4 linked regions of the Saccharomyces cerevisiae S288C genome follow. The protein of the gene in region 3 purifies or fractionates together with the protein of the main gene of each other region. This does not show direct contact. Each region holds a gene or a part of one and is shown on either strand. Other genes may lie near its edges. The genes, in order: NOP53, YGR054W, RPL3 and NSA2.

Evidence for each region.
Region 1: the proteins of RPL3 (region 3) and NOP53 purify together in Saccharomyces cerevisiae (affinity purification with mass spectrometry; 4 studies listed by BioGRID, with this or other methods). This does not show direct contact.
Region 2: the proteins of RPL3 (region 3) and YGR054W purify together in Saccharomyces cerevisiae (affinity purification with mass spectrometry; 3 studies listed by BioGRID). This does not show direct contact.
Region 4: the proteins of RPL3 (region 3) and NSA2 purify together in Saccharomyces cerevisiae (affinity purification with western blotting; 4 studies listed by BioGRID, with this or other methods). This does not show direct contact.

Annotation. Positions count from the first base shown.
Region 1 is NC_001148.4:273,550-279,218, forward strand, and holds NOP53 (Nop53p), read right to left. Parts: upstream 3,981-5,669; coding exon 2,613-3,980; downstream 1-2,612. Other genes in the region: ATP-binding cassette long-chain fatty acid transporter PXA1, read left to right, coding at 1-2,318; oxysterol-binding protein KES1, read right to left, coding at 4,846-5,669. UniProt on the Saccharomyces cerevisiae protein: Late-acting factor in the nuclear maturation of 60S ribosomal subunits, which is required for normal acquisition of export competence. Required for the export of the large subunit.
Region 2 is NC_001139.9:593,600-599,933, forward strand, and holds YGR054W (translation initiation factor 2A), read left to right. Parts: upstream 1-3,093; coding exon 3,094-5,022; downstream 5,023-6,334. Other genes in the region: protein kinase FMP48, read left to right, coding at 1-1,106; MCO32 (Mco32p), read right to left, coding at 1,387-2,238; MUP1 (Mup1p), read left to right, coding at 5,818-6,334. UniProt on the Saccharomyces cerevisiae protein: Functions in the early steps of protein synthesis of a small number of specific mRNAs. Acts by directing the binding of methionyl-tRNAi to 40S ribosomal subunits.
Region 3 is NC_001147.6:441,734-447,225, forward strand, and holds RPL3 (60S ribosomal protein uL3 RPL3), read left to right. Parts: upstream 1-2,952; coding exon 2,953-4,116; downstream 4,117-5,492. Other genes in the region: casein kinase 2 catalytic subunit CKA2, read left to right, coding at 1-820; YOR062C (uncharacterized protein), read right to left, coding at 992-1,798; YNG1 (Yng1p), read right to left, coding at 4,346-5,005. UniProt on the Saccharomyces cerevisiae protein: Component of the ribosome, a large ribonucleoprotein complex responsible for the synthesis of proteins in the cell.
Region 4 is NC_001137.3:411,760-416,711, reverse strand, and holds NSA2 (rRNA-processing protein NSA2), read left to right. Parts: upstream 1-2,532; coding exon 2,533-3,318; downstream 3,319-4,952. Other genes in the region: VFA1 (Vfa1p), read right to left, coding at 242-853; small subunit rRNA maturation protein LCP5, read right to left, coding at 1,158-2,231; RSP5 (NEDD4 family E3 ubiquitin-protein ligase), read right to left, coding at 4,094-4,952. UniProt on the Saccharomyces cerevisiae protein: Involved in the biogenesis of the 60S ribosomal subunit. May play a part in the quality control of pre-60S particles. Under normal, rapid growth conditions, high levels of NSA2 would allow the progression of pre-60S particles through the ITS2 processing.

The sequences.
Region 1 (5,669 bases), on a different chromosome or scaffold from region 3:
GAAGGAATAGGAGACCTTTAATAAGAAGAACAAGATCTCAAATGCAATTAGACAGTGGTGCAAGAATAATGTATATTCCTGAAGTGGAATTAGTCGACCGCCAGAGTCCCGATGACAACAAATTTATGAATGCTACAGATAAAAAAAAAAGGAAAAGGATATTTATTCCACCAAAGGATAACGATGTATATGAACACGATAAGTTTCTTTTTAAAAATGTAGAACTGGAAAGAGCCAAGAATTCGCAGTTATTCTACTCAAAATTTTTAAACCAAATGAACGTCTTGTCTAAAATTTTAATTCCAACAGTTTTTGACAAAAACTTTCTTCTTTTAACTGCTCAAATTTTTTTCCTGGTGATGAGAACTTGGCTCTCTTTGTTTGTAGCCAAGCTGGATGGACAAATAGTCAAAAATATAATTGCTGGTAGAGGAAGAAGCTTTCTGTGGGACTTAGGGTGTTGGTTTTTAATTGCTGTCCCTGCTTCTTATACTAATAGTGCTATTAAGCTACTTCAAAGGAAGTTGAGTTTAAACTTTAGGGTAAATTTGACACGTTACATCCATGACATGTATTTGGATAAAAGACTAACATTTTACAAATTAATTTTTGATGCAAAGGCGTCCAATTCGGTAATCAAGAATATCGACAACTCCATTACTAATGATGTTGCAAAATTTTGCGATGCGACATGCTCCGTTTTTGCAAACATTGCAAAGCCAGTTATTGATTTAATATTCTTTTCGGTTTATTTACGTGATAATTTGGGAACTGTGGGAGTAGCAGGTATATTTGTTAATTATTTCATTACTGGGTTTATTTTGAGGAAATACACGCCACCATTAGGTAAATTGGCAGGCGAGAGATCTGCTTCAGACGGCGATTACTACAATTATCATCTAAACATGATAAATAATAGCGAAGAGATCGCATTTTACCAAGGAACAGCAGTGGAAAGGACGAAAGTTAAAGAGTTGTATGATGTGCTGATGGAAAAAATGCTGCTGGTTGATAAAGTCAAGTTTGGTTACAATATGTTGGAAGACTATGTTTTAAAATATACATGGTCCGGTTTGGGTTATGTTTTTGCCTCAATCCCTATCGTTATGTCTACCTTAGCGACAGGCATCAATTCAGAGGAAAAAAATATGAAGGAATTTATAGTCAACAAAAGGTTGATGTTGTCGCTTGCAGATGCAGGCTCGAGATTGATGCATTCGATAAAGGACATCTCACAATTGACCGGCTACACTAATAGGATATTTACTCTGCTTTCCGTCTTACACAGGGTTCACTCTCTGAACTTTAATTACGGCGCTGTTCCTTCAATCCTGTCAATACGTACAGAAGACGCTTCCAGAAATTCCAACTTATTACCCACCACGGATAATTCGCAAGATGCTATTCGTGGTACTATTCAACGCAATTTTAACGGTATTCGGTTAGAAAATATAGACGTAATCATTCCATCAGTAAGGGCGAGCGAAGGCATAAAGCTGATTAACAAGCTTACATTTCAAATTCCTTTGCATATTGACCCAATAACTTCAAAGTCCAATTCTATACAAGACTTATCGAAGGCAAATGATATAAAGTTACCATTTTTGCAGGGTTCTGGCTCCAGCCTGTTAATATTAGGGCCAAATGGTTGCGGTAAAAGTTCAATTCAACGCATTATAGCTGAAATATGGCCAGTGTATAACAAAAATGGATTATTGTCGATTCCTTCAGAAAATAATATTTTTTTTATTCCTCAGAAACCATATTTTAGTAGAGGTGGAACTTTAAGAGACCAAATTATATACCCCATGTCCTCGGATGAATTCTTTGATAGGGGGTTTAGAGATAAGGAGCTAGTACAGATATTAGTCGAAGTGAAACTAGATTATCTTTTAAAAAGAGGCGTTGGCTTAACTTACCTAGATGCCATTGCCGATTGGAAGGACTTATTAAGTGGTGGTGAAAAGCAAAGAGTAAATTTTGCTAGAATCATGTTTCATAAACCACTATACGTAGTATTAGATGAGGCTACAAACGCAATTAGTGTTGACATGGAAGACTATCTGTTCAATCTTTTAAAACGATACAGATTCAATTTCATTTCCATATCACAAAGACCCACATTAATCAAATATCATGAAATGTTACTAGAGATCGGTGAAAATCGAGATGGCAAATGGCAATTACAGGCAGTTGGTACCGATGAAGCAATCACGTCGATTGACAACGAGATTGAGGAATTGGAGAGAAAACTAGAAAGAGTAAAAGGTTGGGAAGATGAGAGGACGAAGCTACGGGAAAAGCTTGAAATTATTTGAAAACACCCTAGAAAGGGAGAGATTTTATTTAGCGAATATAATTTATATATTATTTCCGTAACTGAATTTGTACTTTTGAATGTTTAACTGATATCTAGAGATATCGACATGGGAATGCCCTCTCAAACTAGAAAAGGGCAGAGAACGAAAAGAAAATGAAACAATTTGTTACCTACTATACAGTTGTTGGTCTTGCCAACACAAATATGAACATATATATATATATCTCACTTGATGAATCCACGTATCAAGGACAACCTTTTCATGGAAACATATACTGTAAAACAAAAAACTCTATTTGAAGTCCTTATGTGTCCACTTTTCAGTGATTTTCTGCTTATACTTTCTACCTTTCCTAACGGGCACTCTTGTTTCGACCTTACCAGAACTTTGTAGTTTTCTCACAGTATCATATAGCAGATTTCCTTCAGGTTTCAGTTTTCTCAATGAGTCAGATAATTCGTCAGAAAATTTAATCTCCAATCTTTCATCAATCACAGAGTATTTCGTCCCTAACTTGTGTTTCTTATTTTTCTTGCTTTTTTTAACCTTGTTGCTATCTGACTCTATGGCTGAAAGTATCTCAGTCTCTTCAGAATTGATAACTTCTTCTAAATCTTTAACACGTTGTCTCAATTCTTTCAACTCTTGTTGCAATTTTACTTTCTCTTCATGTCTCTTTGCCTTGTTTCTTTGATATTTTGTTTTCTTTTTATTCTTCACAGGCTTATTTATTGATAGTTTTATTTCCTTATCAGATCCACTACATTGCGTACTTTCATTTTCATTTTCATTTTCTTCTTCTTCTTCTTCTTCTTCTTCGTTTGATGAAGACTCTTCCTCTTCATTGTCATCTAAAGTTTCCATTAAATGTCTAATTCTTTCTTTGTACTTTTCCAAGGCGATTCTTTCATCTTCTCTTGCCTTTTCCTCTTTATACTCTTTGTTTATCAATTCTGACCAAGCTTTATTGTTGGGATTGTAGGATTTACCAGCATGTGGAATTTCTGTGAATTCTTTTACTGCAATTGGCTCTATATCTAAAGTACTTGGTCTGACTGAAGCAGTAGACCAACTTGTCGTGGATTTTTTCAATAGTTCTTCAGGTATCTGGTCCTTTTTTTCCACATCAAGTTTGATACCGGAAGGTAATTTGACCTTCTGTTTCTTTGAATTGGATTCTTCACCCCATAAGTCGCCAGCCGTTGTTTTAACTAGACCGTCTTTGGCAACTCTATTCTTGATCTTCGATTCGCCGTGTACTCTGCCAGCCAAAGCCATTAATTTCTTTAATTCGTGTTTAGAAACACCTTGAATCTTATTAGGATTTCCACTACTATTCTTATGGTGATTTAGTGCTGCAATTTTTGAATTCGTTTTAACGGCGTCTAAAATCTCTTTACTTTTTAGAACCTTCTTAATTTGTTTCCTTTTAATTAATTTATTTTTCAATATCTCATCACCCTCAACATCAACATGAAAAAGAGCATCATTTTGCAAAGAGGTTATATCACTGGTACCATGCGTAATTTCATGATCAATTTTCTTTTCCATATATTGTTCTACGTCAGATAAATCGATATTTTTTCTCCATGCTTTCTTACCCTTTCTTGAAGACTGTTTGTATTGAGATGGTTTCTTGGTTAGATTAGTTGGAGCCATTTTTAAATAAATGATTCATTAACGTGAGGATGGTATGGATCACAAGAAAGCCGAACTAATAGCATAAGTTGTAATGTAAGGACCCCATCGCATTTTTATTGCTCTTTTCTTTTTTAGAAGTGAAAAAGCTCGGGCACGGAAAATTTTTTGATGGAATTATAGAATTTCGTCAAATATGACTGTATTCTCTCAGAGCACACCTGTTAGGTAATACGCAATATTATGATAATATTACTTTAGTACTTGGCGTTAGCCTCTTGTGTTTCATTGTTATGGAGTGATAAAACAGGCCTATGGTTCGATAAGCGTACAGATTTTGGGATATACCATAAACTTTGTATAGAAAGTGTTGTATAAGTGCATATACTCCATCGATTATGTGGTTCTACAAAATTGACATAAGAAAATTAGAGAGTTATAAAAAAGACAAAAGTGAGGATATCAACAGAGAAGATAAAATATAGTAATAGGTTGTAAATAATAACAAAACTTGCATGAAAACTTGGTAAACTTCAAATTTTAACCTTCGTATGATGATTAAAAAGGATATGACATCATGAGAAAAAAATGAGCGATCTGTCTATCAATAATTAAAGGAAGAAGTAGAAATAGATAAAGGTTTTTTCTGCTTCATCTTTAACAGCAATATAGCATATTCTTGTGGTTCGAAAGAATAAATTCTAGTCATTATAGTGAAAAGAGAACAAAACAATATAAGATTTAGGGGATGGTAAAAATGATTTCTTAGTTCCTCTAATGATTTCATATCCTTTCCTGTCACATGAAGAGAAAAAGGAAGGAAAAAGAAGAAAAGATAGATAATATATTAGTGCAACGGTAACAAGTTGTTACTTTATCGTTCTCCTTACAAAACAATTTCCTTTTCTTCGTCCCACAACTCTCTTTGGAATCTCCAATGAATGGATGAAAGATCCTCCTTCCTGTCTTCTTTGTCACCCACCAAAGTACCACTTGGAGCATTCTTCGTTGATAAATTTAGAGCAGAGGCGAGTTTTAAGAAAGTGTCATCCTTTTCAGGTACAAGGGCGCCTTCTTCGGGCGTGACAGAGTAGTCAAAATCTTTGAACCATCTTCTTTGCCAGCTAATGCCTTTAGCTTCTTCCTCTTTTCTCAATTCTCTTTGCGTTTCTTCCAATTCAGTTTTCGTTTTGGCAATTAAGTTAAAATCGCCTAATTTGATGGCACCAGCCACGTCGTACCAGGCTTTTCTACTTTCCAGTGGGTGTTGCTCCTCCAAAGGCTTGACATTCAGATGTTCAGCAGGGATTCTAGCAGCATCGTAAAATAATCGTGATTCTTCTTTCTTATTTGCCTTGATTATTTTAGAAGAGCCAGACCATTGGCCTGATATTGTGTATAATGCCTTTTCCTTGTCCTTGCTATCTTTAGAGTCTTTGTAAATTCTTGCCTTGAATGAATTCTTTTTACCAGAAAAGTAGCCTCTACCTGAAAATTCAATAACACAAAGTAGACCTGTCGAAGATTGGATATATGATTTTCCTTCCAATTCAACAAAGGGAGAAGCGACAAGAATACCTTCAATATGCAATGGAGGTGGGGTAACCAAATAACTCTCATCCTTAATATCCAACATAGTGTGACCAAATTGTTTAACAGTCAGCATTAAGGATTTAGTGAAACTGGCTTTAATTTGGTTGTAGCCTTGCA
Region 2 (6,334 bases), on a different chromosome or scaffold from region 3:
ATACAAAACTAAGATCTATACAATCAGGAACATTTAGCACAGTTTATAAAGCATGGAGTACTACACATAACCGCTACGTCGCTTTAAAGATTACTCCTAAATACAAAACTTCAGAAGCCAACATGAAGAACGAGTATGATGTAATGAAGATTTTGAGTTCTTGTAATCCTCACCCCAACATCTGTTCGATGCTCGACTTTTACACGGATGACTCGTACTACATCATGGTGCTAGAATACTGCGAATGTGGTGATCTTTATGACTTTCTAGATATTGCTAAGAGTCAAGGTAGCCCGTCGTCTCCATCTTTGATTCAAATTGATATGCAAAAGATAATCAAACAACTGTGCTCAGCAATCAGCTTTGCTCACAGCTTGGGTATTGCTCATCGTGATATCAAACCAGAAAATATTTTGCTAACGATAAATGGTGACATCAAGTTGGCAGACTGGGGTCACGCTATCCAATCCCCTAAATCTAACGACTTCCAGATTGGTACCGATAATTACAGGGCGCCAGAAACTTTCTCTGGCCGCGTTAGTAACTCTTGTTTTAAGAAGAATTTCGATCGGTCATCGGCTCCATTGTATAACACATACCAAGCTGACTATTGGTCATTGGGTGCCACCATATTTTATCTGATGTTCGGCGATTGCCTTTTTAGAGTCTCCAAATCAAAGAAGGTTCAGCATCTAAAAAATTTCGATGAGTTTGAAAAAGATCCATTTGCATTCATTTACAGGAAATACGTAGTACCAAGGCTCTCCTGTGGTTACAATGATGAAGAAGACCTACACGTTAGCCTGCAGCATACGAGGCAGTACATATGGCAAGATCTACCCGACATTTATGATGTCTTCCATTTGTGCAAGATTATGGTTGATACCTTATTAAAGGTATCGAACGCTAAAGAGAGGTCGATGGAGAATTTCATCAATGAAGTTGATTCTGCATGGAACAAAGATAGCTCGATGGACAGCTGCTTCTCGTACCAAAATAAGATTGATCTGTTTTGGGAACAGTGGTCTGTGAACACGGAAACAGTACCAGCAAAGTTCCAATTGAAAAATTTTGAGAAACCTTGCCTAATTCAAGATGGAAAATAAGAAGTAAAAAAGACCTTTTGAAAGTTTCGCCTCATTTTCCTTGATCTGACTTTTTATCCCCTGCTTATCCAATTTTAGTTAGGAACTTTGGCATAATTTCAGTATTACATACTACCTAATCGACATAAAATAATATTACATATTCATTTTTTTAAAAAATAATCATAATCAATTTATCCTTTTTATTCCTTTTTTCTCCTGTGCAAGGTTGATGGTGATGTTTATGATGGTGTGTTTATTATTTACAAATAAAGATGCTATCTAATTCTTGTATATCGTATTAACATGCAAATGCACCGCGAGTGGCAATTTTCTTCTCGTAATGGATCAGTTCAACATCTTCAATGGTATGAACCAGAATTTTCGAATTTTCTTCGTTAAATTCGAATATGAATGTTCCCTTAATCAGCCGGGATAATCTCTTTTTTTTACTTCTTTTACCGTCGCCATCATTTTTCTTCTTCTCATCTTCTTTGGAATTTTGAGTTTCGTTGACCTTATTTTCCATTGACCTTTCAGCTGCATTTTCAAGGTACTCAGAGATAACACTTTGGTTCAAATTATTGGCTGTAGGATGTAAAATGTAGTCTATGACTGGTACCGACCTCATTGAAAATGAACCGCCTGCACCATTGCCTCGTTTCTCCTCTTTCAATCTGTCATTAATTTCTAATTTGGTAATCTTGCAATGGTCTTCCGGTATGCAGCTTTGCCATTTGATCACCAATTTGTCATTACATGTTATGGTATTATAACTCTGAAGAGCAGATTTAACTTCTTCATCATGCGATGTCGATGTTAGAGTCTTTACTGAACTTATATGCAAGCGACATTCATCGCCCAAGATAAACTTTCGTACTATCATTCGCATTGCATTCAAAGAAGCCATGTATTTTGATTTTCCATGTAACACTGGAATATATGGATGCGATGTTGGAAATAGTCTAAAAACAACGTTATCCGCCAACACTGACTCCTTGAACATTTTTTGTAACAAATTGGGAACACCTTTAACCACTAAATAATCTGTTATTTGCCCCAAATTGGCCACTTTTTGAGAATTGGAGTACCATCGAGGAAAGATTCCTTTGATAGATATTATGCCGGCTCTGCAAACACACTTTAGTAACATAAGTCTTTCCCCCTATTATCTATGAATATAAACTGTCTATCTTTCCTTGGTTGTGATGTATCGTTTTCCGTAGAGGCTTGCAGCTTTATGGCTCATACCTGTCATCCCTCTTTATGGGCCTTTTAAGGGCGCTCTCTACATTGTATTCTATTCATTTTTTTCGTAACCGTAACTACGCGCCTTCTTAACGCAAGGCGCTCGACTCATCATGAGATGCGTATGAATGTCTTTCAGTGTATAGAAATACATCTCACCAAATCTATTTATTTAACTAATATTTCTTTTAATATTTTCCTCAAGAAACTCAGGCAGTTAATGTTGTGTCCTATTTTTTTTAGTTCTTTCCCATTTTTATAGCACTCGTACAAAAGAAATCGAAATATTTCAATATGTTTAGACTCGGTTCTATGTGTTAAAACTGCAAGATGAAAAAGTAACATCTATCTTAGATTAAGGTCCTTTCTTTATATTCTTTACTTTATTAGTGAGCAGAAATATTATTAAAAATTGCCGCTGTCATACTGTACGATATTATTACCCGACCGCAGAATGTTCCTCAATACTTTCTTTTTCTTCCTTTTTTTCACTTCGCTTTCTTCATGTCCATCAATGAAATTTCAGCTTCATAGCGATTTATTTTCAGTGTACGTTATTCAATGAAGATTCCTTTTCCTCGATCTATCCAGACGACTAGACATAGCGAGAATTCTTTACGGTAGAAGCAACCTATAGATTACCGAATCATAACTTTCTTTAGTGTTGATTGAGACGTGTTGTGTTTAAACTATCCATTGCATCTCGATAAAAAAACATAGTACTACAACAAACAGTCAGGTTCAATAACACCTAAACATTATGTCATCTCAGTTTTTCCTGAAAACCTCTCAGGATATAGAGCTCTTCCAAAGCTACCCAACTTTTGAGCAATCCAACACAAACTCCAAGGATTTCCCTGTCATTTCCTCGGTTTTATCGCCATGTGGCAGATTTTTGGCTTTATCTACGAAGGAGAACGTCAAAGTTTTTACAGGTCCATGTTTGGATAACGTTCTATTAACAATGAAGTTGTCCGACGTCTATGACCTACACTTCTCTCCAGCAGGTAACTACTTAAGCACTTGGGAGAGAGCGTCTATACAAGACCCAAATCACAAGAACGTTAAAGTTTGGTATTTGAATAAACCATTTAAGAAAGATTGCGTTTCGGAGGATATAGTCCCTGCTTACGAATATCAAGCCAAATCCCAAAGCGGTTGGTTTTTACAATTCTCCAAATTAGACAATTATGGGCTAAGACTTTTTAAACACGACTTGAAGATTGTTAAATTAAGCTCCGCTAATGCCGACAATTTCGACTTCCAATCTCCGTTTGCTGTCTTGTCTGATGATGAAACGTCCCAACATTTCACCACCTACCTAATCTCTCCAGCTGAACATCCAACAATTTGTACTTTCACACCAGAAAAGGGTGGTAAACCGGCTCAATTAATCATATGGGCCCTCTCTGAAGGTAAAATCACCAAGAAAATTGCCTCCAAAACTTTCTTTAAAGCTGATTCCTGCCAATTGAAATGGAATCCATTAGGTAATGCTATTTTATGTTTAGCTATTACTGATTTTGATTCCTCAAACAAATCATATTATGGTGAAAACACACTATACTTACTGTCTTTCCAAGGTGTCAACGGGACTTTGGGTGGTAACTCTGTACGTGTTTCTTTAACCACTGGACCTGTCCACGATTTCACTTGGTCGCCAACTTCAAGGCAATTCGGTGTCATCGCTGGTTACATGCCAGCAACCATTTCCTTTTTTGACTTAAGAGGTAATGTTGTCCATTCATTACCTCAACAAGCCAAAAATACCATGCTTTTCTCTCCCTCTGGTCATTACATTCTTATCGCCGGGTTTGGTAATTTACAGGGCTCCGTGGAAATCCTAGATCGTCTCGACAAATTCAAGTGTGTGAGTAAATTTGACGCTACCAACACTTCTGTCTGCAAATGGTCACCGGGTGGAGAATTTATCATGACAGCTACCACTTCACCAAGATTGAGAGTGGATAACGGCGTTAAAATATGGCATGTATCAGGCTCTTTAGTATTTGTTAAAGAGTTCAAGGAGCTTTTGAAGGTAGACTGGAGGTCACCATGTAATTACAAAACTTTGGAAAACAAAGACGAAGCATTTTTCGAGAACCATATCATTAATAACTGGGAACCGCTACCTGATTCGACCACATCTTCACTTGATCCTAAAATATCCAATAAATCAGAATTGCAAATACATTCTAGCGTTCAAGAGTACATAAGTCAACACCCAAGCAGAGAAGCAAGCTCCAATGGAAACGGATCTAAGGCCAAAGCTGGAGGCGCTTATAAACCACCTCACGCAAGAAGAACAGGCGGTGGACGTATTGTCCCCGGAGTTCCTCCTGGTGCAGCAAAGAAGACCATCCCAGGGCTAGTTCCGGGCATGAGTGCCAACAAGGACGCCAACACCAAGAACAGGAGAAGAAGAGCCAATAAAAAGTCAAGTGAAACGTCACCTGATTCTACTCCGGCCCCATCTGCTCCTGCCTCCACAAATGCCCCCACAAACAATAAAGAAACTTCTCCAGAGGAGAAGAAAATAAGATCTTTACTAAAGAAATTAAGGGCTATTGAAACCTTGAAGGAAAGACAGGCCGTCGGTGACAAACTAGAAGATACGCAAGTTCTAAAAATTCAAACTGAAGAAAAAGTGTTGAAAGATTTGGAAAAGTTGGGTTGGAAGGATGAATAAACTAGAAGAAACTGATGTATCCATACAACTGTGTAAATATTAACAACGTCAAATAATACTACTTTGAATTGTTTTTTACTGTTTCCCAGGAGAATTACGCCAACCTCCCCCCTTTCTTTTTTTCCCTTGTTTTATTGTACTTTTCCACATATTTTTTTAACATCAAATAGTAATTGATACATACATAATTAGTGAGCATTTTCCTTATTTTTACGTCTCTTCTTGGCGGATTGCCACCAGCCGCATCTTACAATGTATGCCACGATACCGCCAGGCAATAAATGAATATGGAGTGTCACTTCGGCTCCGTAAGCCGGCGCTGCATCCGCCACCACAGTTTTTTTTAGCGTCGCTGTCGCCGCTTTGCCACAGAAAAAGAAAAAAAAAAAAGAAACGGCGCCGTGTAGGGTTTTGTATAACAGATCGGCCTAGCAGCCAGGAGATGGCACGGCGCCAACTGAAAAGTTAGACTGTGGAATTGCCGTTCACCACACTCGAGTGGCATCTAATAAACTGCCACAGTTGACTCAAGCGGTGCTACCTTCGCAGTTATTGCACACCATGGTAACACATAACACAGTCTTGCATTACAAATGTGGTTCCTCCTACTTGGCGGTGAATTTCTTGAGTCAGCCCGTTATTTTCATATGGTGATGTAAGATTACATACAGTATATATATATAAGGATGATTCTCACACAAACTTTTCCGCTGTTCATCATATTTTGTTTTTGGATTAGTTTCACATTCTGTAGAAATCTTTAAAGACAAGAGAAGAGAAAACAAAGGCGGAGCAATGTCGGAAGGAAGAACGTTTCTGTCACAGTTGAATGTCTTCAACAAGGAGAACTATCAATTTTCTTCTTCTACTACAAAAAAGGAAGTAAGTAACTCGACAGTGGATGCTGACAACGGTGCCTCCGATTTTGAGGCAGGCCAGCAATTTGCTACAGAATTGGACCAAGGTGAAAAGCAGTTAGGTATTTTGTCGTGTATTGGGCTTATCTGTAATAGAATGCTTGGTACCGGTGTTTTCGCCGTTTCCTCGACCATTTACACACTATGTGGGTCTGTGGGGCTTGCATTAATTATGTGGGCAGTTGGCGCCATTATTGCCATTTCTGGGTTATATGTATACATGGAATTCGGTACGGCTATACCGAAAAATGGTGGTGAAAAAAACTACCTGGAGGCTATTTTCAGGAAACCAAAATTCTTCATTACCTGTATGTATGCTGCGTATATTTTCTTCCTAGGTTGGGCTGCTGGTAATTCCATCAATACAGCTATTATGTTTTTAACTGCTGCTGATA
Region 3 (5,492 bases):
TAGATGTATTGTAAACAACCAGAAGTGTGTTATTAAAGTTTTAAAACCAGTTAAAATGAAAAAAATTTATAGAGAGTTGAAAATTCTGACCAATCTAACAGGCGGCCCCAATGTTGTTGGCCTTTATGATATAGTACAAGACGCTGACTCCAAAATACCTGCTTTGATCTTTGAGGAAATCAAAAATGTTGATTTCAGAACTTTATATCCTACATTCAAACTTCCTGACATCCAGTATTATTTCACGCAATTATTGATTGCGTTAGACTACTGTCACTCCATGGGCATAATGCACAGAGACGTAAAGCCTCAGAATGTCATGATTGATCCTACGGAACGTAAACTAAGGCTGATCGATTGGGGCCTGGCGGAGTTCTACCATCCAGGTGTAGATTACAACGTTCGTGTCGCTTCGCGTTACCACAAGGGACCAGAACTTTTAGTAAACTTGAACCAATATGACTACTCCCTAGACTTATGGTCAGTAGGATGCATGCTAGCAGCTATTGTCTTCAAAAAAGAACCTTTTTTCAAAGGGTCGTCTAATCCAGATCAACTGGTAAAGATTGCCACAGTACTAGGAACCAAGGAACTGTTAGGCTATTTGGGTAAGTACGGGTTGCACTTACCATCTGAATACGACAACATTATGAGAGACTTTACAAAAAAATCGTGGACACACTTTATAACCTCCGAGACCAAATTAGCTGTTCCTGAAGTGGTTGATTTAATCGACAATTTATTAAGGTATGACCATCAAGAAAGATTAACAGCAAAGGAGGCTATGGATCATAAGTTTTTCAAAACGAAGTTTGAATAATTGGACAACAATACTCTTAGCAAGGCAATTCTTTTTCCACCACTGATTTCCATTTATAAAAAGCAGGGGTTTTCCTTTTTTGTAGCTTGATATTAGAGAATATCCTTAATGTGAATATTAAATTGCAAACTCTATTTAACAACGAATGTAGATTATTATATGACCAGAAAATCACTTTATATAGATATAAGAGCCTTCCGTAATGCTATGCAAGTTTTGATGAATTATTATATTGTCGTGAGGCGTGTTCCGAGGAGTTTCGTCGCCATTGGGATAGAGATGCTCGTAATCGTACGTGTCTGGAAGTGCCTGCCGACGGTAGCGATGTCTACTCTCGTCCCAGACAATGGAATAGTTTTGGAATTGTTCTACATCATTTATTAGAACACATGATTCACGAAATCTCCCACGTTTGTCAATATCTCGCCTACGAACAGTGTCATCGAATGATATTGAACGCTGAGAGAGCCATTTACCTTTTGAGTAAAATACGCTGCCTTTTTTCAGCAATGAAGAAGCACTTCCCTCCTTTCTTACATCCAATAATTGCTTCCCTTGTTCCTTTATATTCCCCATAGGAAAGTCCGTTGGAGTAGGTTGCTCTCTTTCATGTATTCCAACCAGATCAGGTCCGTAAAGAACAGTAACGTCTATTTCTTTATTCCAGTTTATGCTTAGTGGATCAATTTTGTATTCATCTAAATTGAAGTGCTTTATGGACCACCTCCTCCATATACAATGATACAACCTAGCCATATATATGCTATAGTCAAACTCATTTTCAGAAGAGCAACTGGGTAACCTTAATAATTTATGCTTGCGCATTTTCAGCAACAAGCGCCAGGTAGTGGACACGTCCAAGCTATCATAGTTAAATTTGAAATGAAAATAATCTATGGCGGGGCGAATATAGTTGGTGGCGTTGTCTAATAGTGCTATATTTTTTTTTGTCAGCACACTGTCATCTAAACTAGTCATTTTCACTAACAAGGTAGTATATGTTAGAGTCTTGGAGATTTTCGACCTGTTCAGACTGGCCAAAAGAGTGCTAATATGAAAATGTTCCCTCTTATAATATATAACATCTGTGACAAAAATCTATTCTTCCACCTATCGCCTGCATAACATGAGGCCTTTCCTGCGGGATAGCTTTTGCTTCAGGTTCTTCTGAGGTTCTGAAAATCAATATATTTTTCCGACAATTTCTCACTATGCCTCTATCCCCCTTAAAAAGAAACACTTTCTACCCTCTTTTCTAAACTCTGCACACTAGACCGAGACAGCAAATCGGAGCCCGAGAGAAAATCCGGAGGACGGAAAAACTAGAAGTAATCTTATGCGGGGAGCATGCACCAGAACGCCCAGAAAACGTGAATGACACTACATACTTTGATACGGATGTTGGTATTTTTCCGGCTTTTTCTATTTTATCGATGCCGTGTCTGCTGCCATTACGTACAGGTAGGCAAAGGCAAACAAGAATAGCACTTTTTCACTTGCTGCTTTTTTTTGTGAATGAAGTTTATCGTATATTCTGTTAGTGCCGCTCGTATCAGCCACTTACGTTATCATTCTAAAGTAAGTATACGAAATGTGCAAACCTTAGTAGACGTTCAAGAATTGCTCGATAATTGCGAACAAACCAGCTGCTAAGCCGGGAAGTTAAGTCCTCAACACAGAAATGATGCAAACAATTTATTAAATTCAGTGGTAATGCAACAGCAAGAGGAAAGGTGGAGGGATTAACGCATTTCAGACAGCTTTATAGGGGGAAAGAAAGCACTCGCAAACTTGCTGCCTGTTCGCAGTCATTGGTTGCAAAAACTAAACTCTACTCACGCACACTGGAATGAATGGCAATATTCTTTTTTAGGTTAACCGGCCGGACAGTAATATAGTAATCGTTTTGTACGTTTTTCAAGAAGCGACGCACAACTGTTTTCCATTTTTTTTTTTTTTTTTTCAGTGATCATCGTCCATGAAAAAAATTTTTCATTTGTCTCTTTCGTGCTTCCTGGATATATAAAATACGATTTATTTAGTTGTCTTTGTCAATCCTCATCTTTCTTTACTCATTATTTCATTTCGGTTTTGTCATCTCTAGAACAACACAGTTACTACAACAATCAATCATGTCTCACAGAAAGTACGAAGCACCACGTCACGGTCATTTAGGTTTCTTGCCAAGAAAGAGAGCTGCCTCCATCAGAGCTAGAGTTAAGGCTTTTCCAAAGGATGACAGATCCAAGCCAGTTGCTCTAACTTCCTTCTTGGGTTACAAGGCTGGTATGACCACCATTGTCAGAGATTTGGACAGACCAGGTTCTAAGTTCCACAAGCGTGAAGTTGTCGAAGCTGTCACCGTTGTTGACACTCCACCAGTTGTCGTTGTTGGTGTTGTCGGTTACGTCGAAACCCCAAGAGGTTTGAGATCTTTGACCACCGTCTGGGCTGAACATTTGTCTGACGAAGTCAAGAGAAGATTCTACAAGAACTGGTACAAGTCTAAGAAGAAGGCTTTCACCAAATACTCTGCCAAGTACGCTCAAGATGGTGCTGGTATTGAAAGAGAATTGGCTAGAATCAAGAAGTACGCTTCCGTCGTCAGAGTTTTGGTCCACACTCAAATCAGAAAGACTCCATTGGCTCAAAAGAAGGCTCATTTGGCTGAAATCCAATTGAACGGTGGTTCCATCTCTGAAAAGGTTGACTGGGCTCGTGAACATTTCGAAAAGACTGTTGCTGTCGACAGCGTTTTTGAACAAAACGAAATGATTGACGCTATTGCTGTCACCAAGGGTCACGGTTTCGAAGGTGTTACCCACAGATGGGGTACTAAGAAATTGCCAAGAAAGACTCACAGAGGTCTAAGAAAGGTTGCTTGTATTGGTGCTTGGCATCCAGCCCACGTTATGTGGAGTGTTGCCAGAGCTGGTCAAAGAGGTTACCATTCCAGAACCTCCATTAACCACAAGATTTACAGAGTCGGTAAGGGTGATGATGAAGCTAACGGTGCTACCAGCTTCGACAGAACCAAGAAGACTATTACCCCAATGGGTGGTTTCGTCCACTACGGTGAAATTAAGAACGACTTCATCATGGTTAAAGGTTGTATCCCAGGTAACAGAAAGAGAATTGTTACTTTGAGAAAGTCTTTGTACACCAACACTTCTAGAAAGGCTTTGGAAGAAGTCAGCTTGAAGTGGATTGACACTGCTTCTAAGTTCGGTAAGGGTAGATTCCAAACCCCAGCTGAAAAGCATGCTTTCATGGGTACTTTGAAGAAGGACTTGTAAGAAGTTTTGTTAGAAAATAAATCATTTTTTAATTGAGCATTCTTATTCCTATTTTATTTAAATAGTTTTATGTATTGTTAGCTACATACAACAGTTTAAATCAAATTTTCTTTTTCCCAAGTCCAAAATGGAGGTTTATTTTGATGACCCGCATGCGATTATGTTTTGAAAGTATAAGACTACATACATGTACATATATTTAAACATGTAAACCCGTCCATTATATTGCTTACTTTCTTCTTTTTTGCCGTTTTGACTTGGACCTCTGGTTTGCTATTTCCTTACAATCTTTGCTACAATACCATTTGCCCTTGGGAGCTTGTTTCAGGCCTACGCAACCATAATGGAACCACTCGAAGGGACAAGCCGGATTATCACAAGCCACCATTGGCCCATAAGATACATTCCTACAGAAACAATAAACCTCCTCTTGATTATTATTACCCTCTGTTACATCACCCTGGTTAATCCCAATTGTGGGGCTAGTTATGCTCTCTTTTCTTTCCCTCGATTTAGCCTTTTTCAAGTTAATCTTTAAAAGCAGTTTTGGCTCCTTATATGCTCCTGGTTCTTCTAACGTCAACTTCGACTTGATATTCTCTAGCGAAGAGTTGAAATTTTTTGTCACTGACTTCTGTATCTCTAGTTCCTTCTTATGCTGCTTTAAGAAATGAATCTGATCATCGACCAGATCATTAATATAAGTCGCTACCAGCAACAGATCCCTACAGGCCCTTTCCATACCAGGCTCATCCTCTTCATTCTTGAATAAGTCGATTGTTTGCATCAGTCGAAGAGATCTTATTAGTTCACATGGTAAATGATCCAAAGTGCTAAGGAAACTGTACCTGATATCCGAATCCGAGTTTTCGTTGGCGAGATGTTCCATTGCTGTAGACGAAAAAAACTTCCTTGTAAAGCGGATGTGCTAGCGCATCATACATTTCAGTTCTATTAAGACTTTCACAGATGCTGTTGTGATGTTCTGTGAGCCAATCCCAAATGTTTGTATAAGGACGGAAATAAGACGGAGCGCCACGTGACTGAAGATTTTTTTTTTCTCGGATTTCTTGGTAATGGGCGGCCGGTATTTCCGGCGGCCAAAAAATGCGAGGATTTGGTTGGTGGAGAGGGTCGAGCGCCTTTACCCTGCGTAGATACTAAGGGGGCTCTTTCTAGTATATAAACAATTTGAATAATAACGAGGTTAGACGTCCAACTGGATCCATAGACTATCTAAGCTTTTAGTAGAGGCCATTCGTTTTCTTATTAATCATCGGTTTCACAATCTTTCTTTGTTAAGCAACATTTTATACATTTTTGTACTTTATCTTCAAATATTAAGGACAAGAAAGAAAAAGAAAAAGAATCCATAT
Region 4 (4,952 bases), on a different chromosome or scaffold from region 3:
TGTCAGAAATACAAACATCACTCACACTTTCTGCCTTCCCTGGAAAGAAAGAAAAAAATTAGCTACAATTTAGTCGCTTGATACGTGTTGATTTTATTTTGTGATCTTTAGAATGTGATGAGCATTTAGCTTTTGGTTACGAACCATGAATAGATAATCCATGGTGAGTTTTATATACTATATAATCAATAGTTCATGGGTATTAGGCCATAGGAAGAGGAACGGTCCAACCGTTGCGTCCTTATTTTGGAACGGAGGGGAACACGTGTTTTCGAAGCAGTTCTTCAGGATCCGTATTAGAGTAATTCTCTTGCTCCTTGAGGTATCGTTCGCGATTTACTTGTTCTGTTCTTTTTCTTAGGAGTCTGCTTTCAAACATGATTTTTGCTAGTTCGTATTTTCTGTTTTTCCTTTGCAGTTCTGTAACTTTGTCAAGTATTTTGCTGTACTGTTTCTTTGTTTCTGACAAGATTTCTGCATCGTTCTTAGCCTGTGGAGATGTATCAGTAGAGTCGGTTGTAGTTGGATCAGGGTCTTTAGAGTTATTTGTCTCCTTTTCTTTCTTGGAGAATATTTTAGTAACCCAACCATCCCAGGACCCTAATTGGGTTTGAGCTGATGTCAGACTATCCATTTTCCCCTTTACTAGTTTTAATTGAGCCACGGCTTCATTATACTCTGTACTATAGAGGGGAATGACAAATTGTGGATTATCTTGTAAATGTATTTCGCATGTATATAGCCAATCTGGACCAGATGCGTTGTAAAGGACGGTAGTGGATGGTTTGCTACAGATCGCACATGGTTGCATGTCCTTTAGAGCGACCTTTCTGGCAACGTACTCATTTATCATTGTATATATACTATATCGTGGCACTTCTGGTGTGCCTTATTCCCACTATATTGTTAATTTATGGCGATTTAGTCATGTTCTGCTTAGGACTATAAAAAAAAAAAAGAAAAAAAAAGGTAGAGTTTATTCTGGAGGGACTAATAATCATAAAGGCAATGGTGCCTAAACCTCTCACACGTTAATGTCGTGAAAGCCAAAATTCTTGTTTTTAATAGCTTATATACCAGTGCCCTTCATTTATATTTAACTTTTAAATATTAAGTCTATAAACGCTTTAGGATATAAGAAAATAAACTTTTTGTATCTACAGTCTCCTTTGAGCTCTATCCCAGGCAGAACGAGTCTTCTTGGCCCCACGTCTCGAAGTGCTATCTTCCAGCTTCCTCTTTGAGCTGAATATACCAAAATCTTCACCACCGATAACGTTCATCCTTGCATTTCTTTCTCGTTGCTTTTGCTTCCTTTTTTCAGCTTTATTTGTAATATTCAATCTGGTAAAATTATCTTCTTCGAATGAAGTGACTCTACGTTCCTTCTCTGTGTCTCTCAAAGATTTGATACCGCCTCTTCCATGGTTCACAATGTCAGCACCAATAGATGCACTCCAGTCCGGTTGGTCCGATGACTCTCTAATATATTCTTCCATGGCTTGCATACGCGATTTGTTACTACGATCTTTGTGTTCTCTGGCATCGAATCTATCTTCAAAATGCGTTTGTTGCGGTGGTAGAACAGCCGTAATCTTTGGTGGTTTATACACGCCAGTCTCATTGTCATCGTTTTCTTCCCCGTTTTCTTGCTTAGCCGTTTCCTCCACCCTGTATGCTGATGATTTTTTATTTGTGTTGATAATTCCAGAGGTATTTGGCCTGTATGCTATTTCATCCTCACTAGACTCATCATCTTCGCTATCGTCGTTGCCGCTATGATTCACTAAGGTAGATTTTTCCAGTGCACGCTTCTCAGCGTCTTTATATTCCTTTTCCATTTTCACATATGCTCTAGTCAGCTTGTCCAATTGGTAAGCCAACTTTTTTTCTAGTGGTTTAACACCACGCTCTAATACCACACGGTGTTGAATAGAGCGTTCACGTGCATCCATAGCAGAAGGATCTTTGCACTCGTCGTCTAGCCTATTGCCTATAAGCATCAATAGAGAATTTATGTACCCTAGCATGCTCCCATTTTTTAAGGATAGCAGCGATACTTTCTCAGCAGGCTTCTTAGCGTCGTAAAATAGATGCTCATGTAGTTGGTTACTTTCAGGAATCTCATCGGTCGCAGAATTACTATAAATCCCAGACAACCTCTCCAAGGATTCTGATGTCGCAGTGAGCGAGCCGTTGATATCTTTTAATAATGCATTAAGTTCAGACATTCTTGGATTTGTGTGTTAGTTGACAATTTTAATTTCTTCATCTCTTTTGACACTTTAGAATGGTATAGCTCATCGGTTTCTTTTCTTCAACCTTGCAGGAAAGGCGTAAAAAATTTTATGTCGTCGGCAACGGTTCTAGTAACAATCCGATGAAAAATTTTCCGGACAGCGATGAGATGCACTTTTAAGACAATTGAATGGATTAGGTATCAGTTAGAGAAGAACTTGGTTTTCGTATCTGGCGTTTTTATCTTTAGTCAGTAGTCAGTCTCGTATCAATACTGATATATACAACGAAACAATGCCTCAAAACGATTATATCGAGCGTCACATCAAACAGCATGGTAAAAGATTAGATCACGAAGAAAGGAAACGTAAGAGAGAGGCAAGAGAGTCTCATAAGATTTCTGAACGGGCCCAGAAGTTGACTGGTTGGAAGGGTAAGCAATTTGCTAAGAAGAGATATGCTGAAAAGGTATCAATGAGAAAGAAGATTAAGGCACATGAACAATCTAAGGTCAAGGGTTCATCCAAACCATTGGATACCGATGGTGATGCTTTGCCGACATATCTATTGGACAGAGAACAAAATAACACAGCCAAAGCTATTTCTTCATCGATCAAACAAAAGAGGTTGGAAAAAGCTGATAAGTTTTCAGTTCCGTTACCAAAGGTTCGTGGTATAAGTGAAGAAGAAATGTTCAAAGTTATTAAAACAGGTAAATCTAGATCCAAGTCATGGAAGAGAATGATAACGAAACACACTTTTGTGGGTGAAGGTTTCACTAGAAGACCAGTTAAAATGGAAAGAATCATCAGACCAAGTGCGTTGAGACAGAAAAAGGCAAACGTCACTCATCCGGAATTAGGTGTAACTGTCTTCTTGCCAATTTTGGCAGTTAAGAAGAATCCACAATCTCCAATGTACACTCAGTTAGGTGTTTTGACTAAAGGTACCATTATTGAAGTTAACGTTTCGGAATTGGGGATGGTTACTGCTGGTGGTAAAGTTGTCTGGGGTAAGTATGCTCAGGTCACAAACGAACCAGACAGAGACGGCTGTGTCAATGCGGTTTTGCTTGTATGAGCAAAAAAGTGCTCCGTTTTTTTTTTTTTTATCTCGATGGTTCAAATTAGGTTTACTTTTAATTTAATAATACGATATACGTCTACAAGCACAAAAGAACAGGTATATAAAAAATGTACGCTCTGTCCTGTTCGGGTTTCTCTTTTTACTTCTCGTCATTCTCTGTACAATATAACAAATCAAGAATTTATTATCCGGTTCTTTTTTCCTCACGACAAATAACCGATACTCTCCGTGTGTAGGTGACTGGCAAGAGAGGGATTGCCTAGTACGCTCGTTTCAAGTATGTACCTCACGAGAGCAATTTCAACTGTAGTATAATACCCAGGTCACTATTCAGTTTTAAAATGCAAGAAAATTAAAAAACAAAAAACGTATGGTTGTAAAAAGCAGGGCACATTATATGTATATAAATAAAAAAAAAAATTAATAAAATCTAAAAAGAGGATATAAAAAATAAGAGGCGTAAGGCAATATAAATTATTGGTATCATGCTCCTTTTGAAAAGGAAAACCTCCTCTTATGGCGAACTTGAAAAGAACTTTGCGTAATCATCAAAAAAAGCACTTCACGTTTTCCTGCATTTTCTTTGCTGCTTTCCATGTTGCTGTAAAAACAACAATGATTAATCATTTCATGAGCAACTCAGATAAAATTAACAAAAAAGAGTTTTCTCTTTACTATTGTTAGCTGAAATATAAAACAAGATGATTGAGGCAGAAAGAATGTTGGGAAAACGGACACCATAAATAAAAAAAAAATTGGTGCGGAATAATCATTCTTGACCAAACCCTATGGTTTCTTCCACGGCCAATGTTAGCTTCTGTTTCATGCTGTCATAATCAACGTATTGTGGCAAATCAACTCTGTTAAAACATGTGTGAGATTTTGGCAATTGTTGTACTTCACCAGCTTTTTCAATAGTGAATCTTCTTGGACCATCAGAGCCTTGCAAATCTTTAAACCCGTTGACAGGTATACGAGAAGTACCAGTGGTGAACTGCAATAAACGGGCTCTTTGTTCATTATCCCATTCACTGACACACTTCCAAAACCATTGAATGACCTCGTCTGACTCTTGGTAACCACGATAATCAGTGTGTTTCTTCCAATCTTCAATGTCAATTTCCGCAATACCACCGATCAATAGTTCTAGTTCACGCTCATCAAACACAGTTACTAAGTCTTCGGGGATTAATTCGTTAAAACCATCCATGAATGCCTTAAATTGTTCTTGAACTCTATCAACAATTCTCCATTGGGTATATAATTCGACATATTCTTTCTTATTACCATCAGTAACTTCAATATTTCTCCCATCTGGCTTCAAATCCACTGTTACAACTTCACCGAATCTTTCATCGTCGGCACTGAACGTCAGATCCAAGACACCATCTATACTATTCTCAAGCATCCAGTTTAATGAGTTATACACCTCTGCGTCAACACCTTCCATATCTTGCAATACGACTTTTTTACGTAGCATCATTTTGTAAAGTGCACCTACAAAGAATGCATCCAAAAATCTTCTATGGAAAACACCAAGACCCACAACTCTACCAATGAATTTGAAATAGTTCAAATGTTCGGGGTTGATGCCACTGTTAGGATTTATTTGAATGGTATAGTTGTCA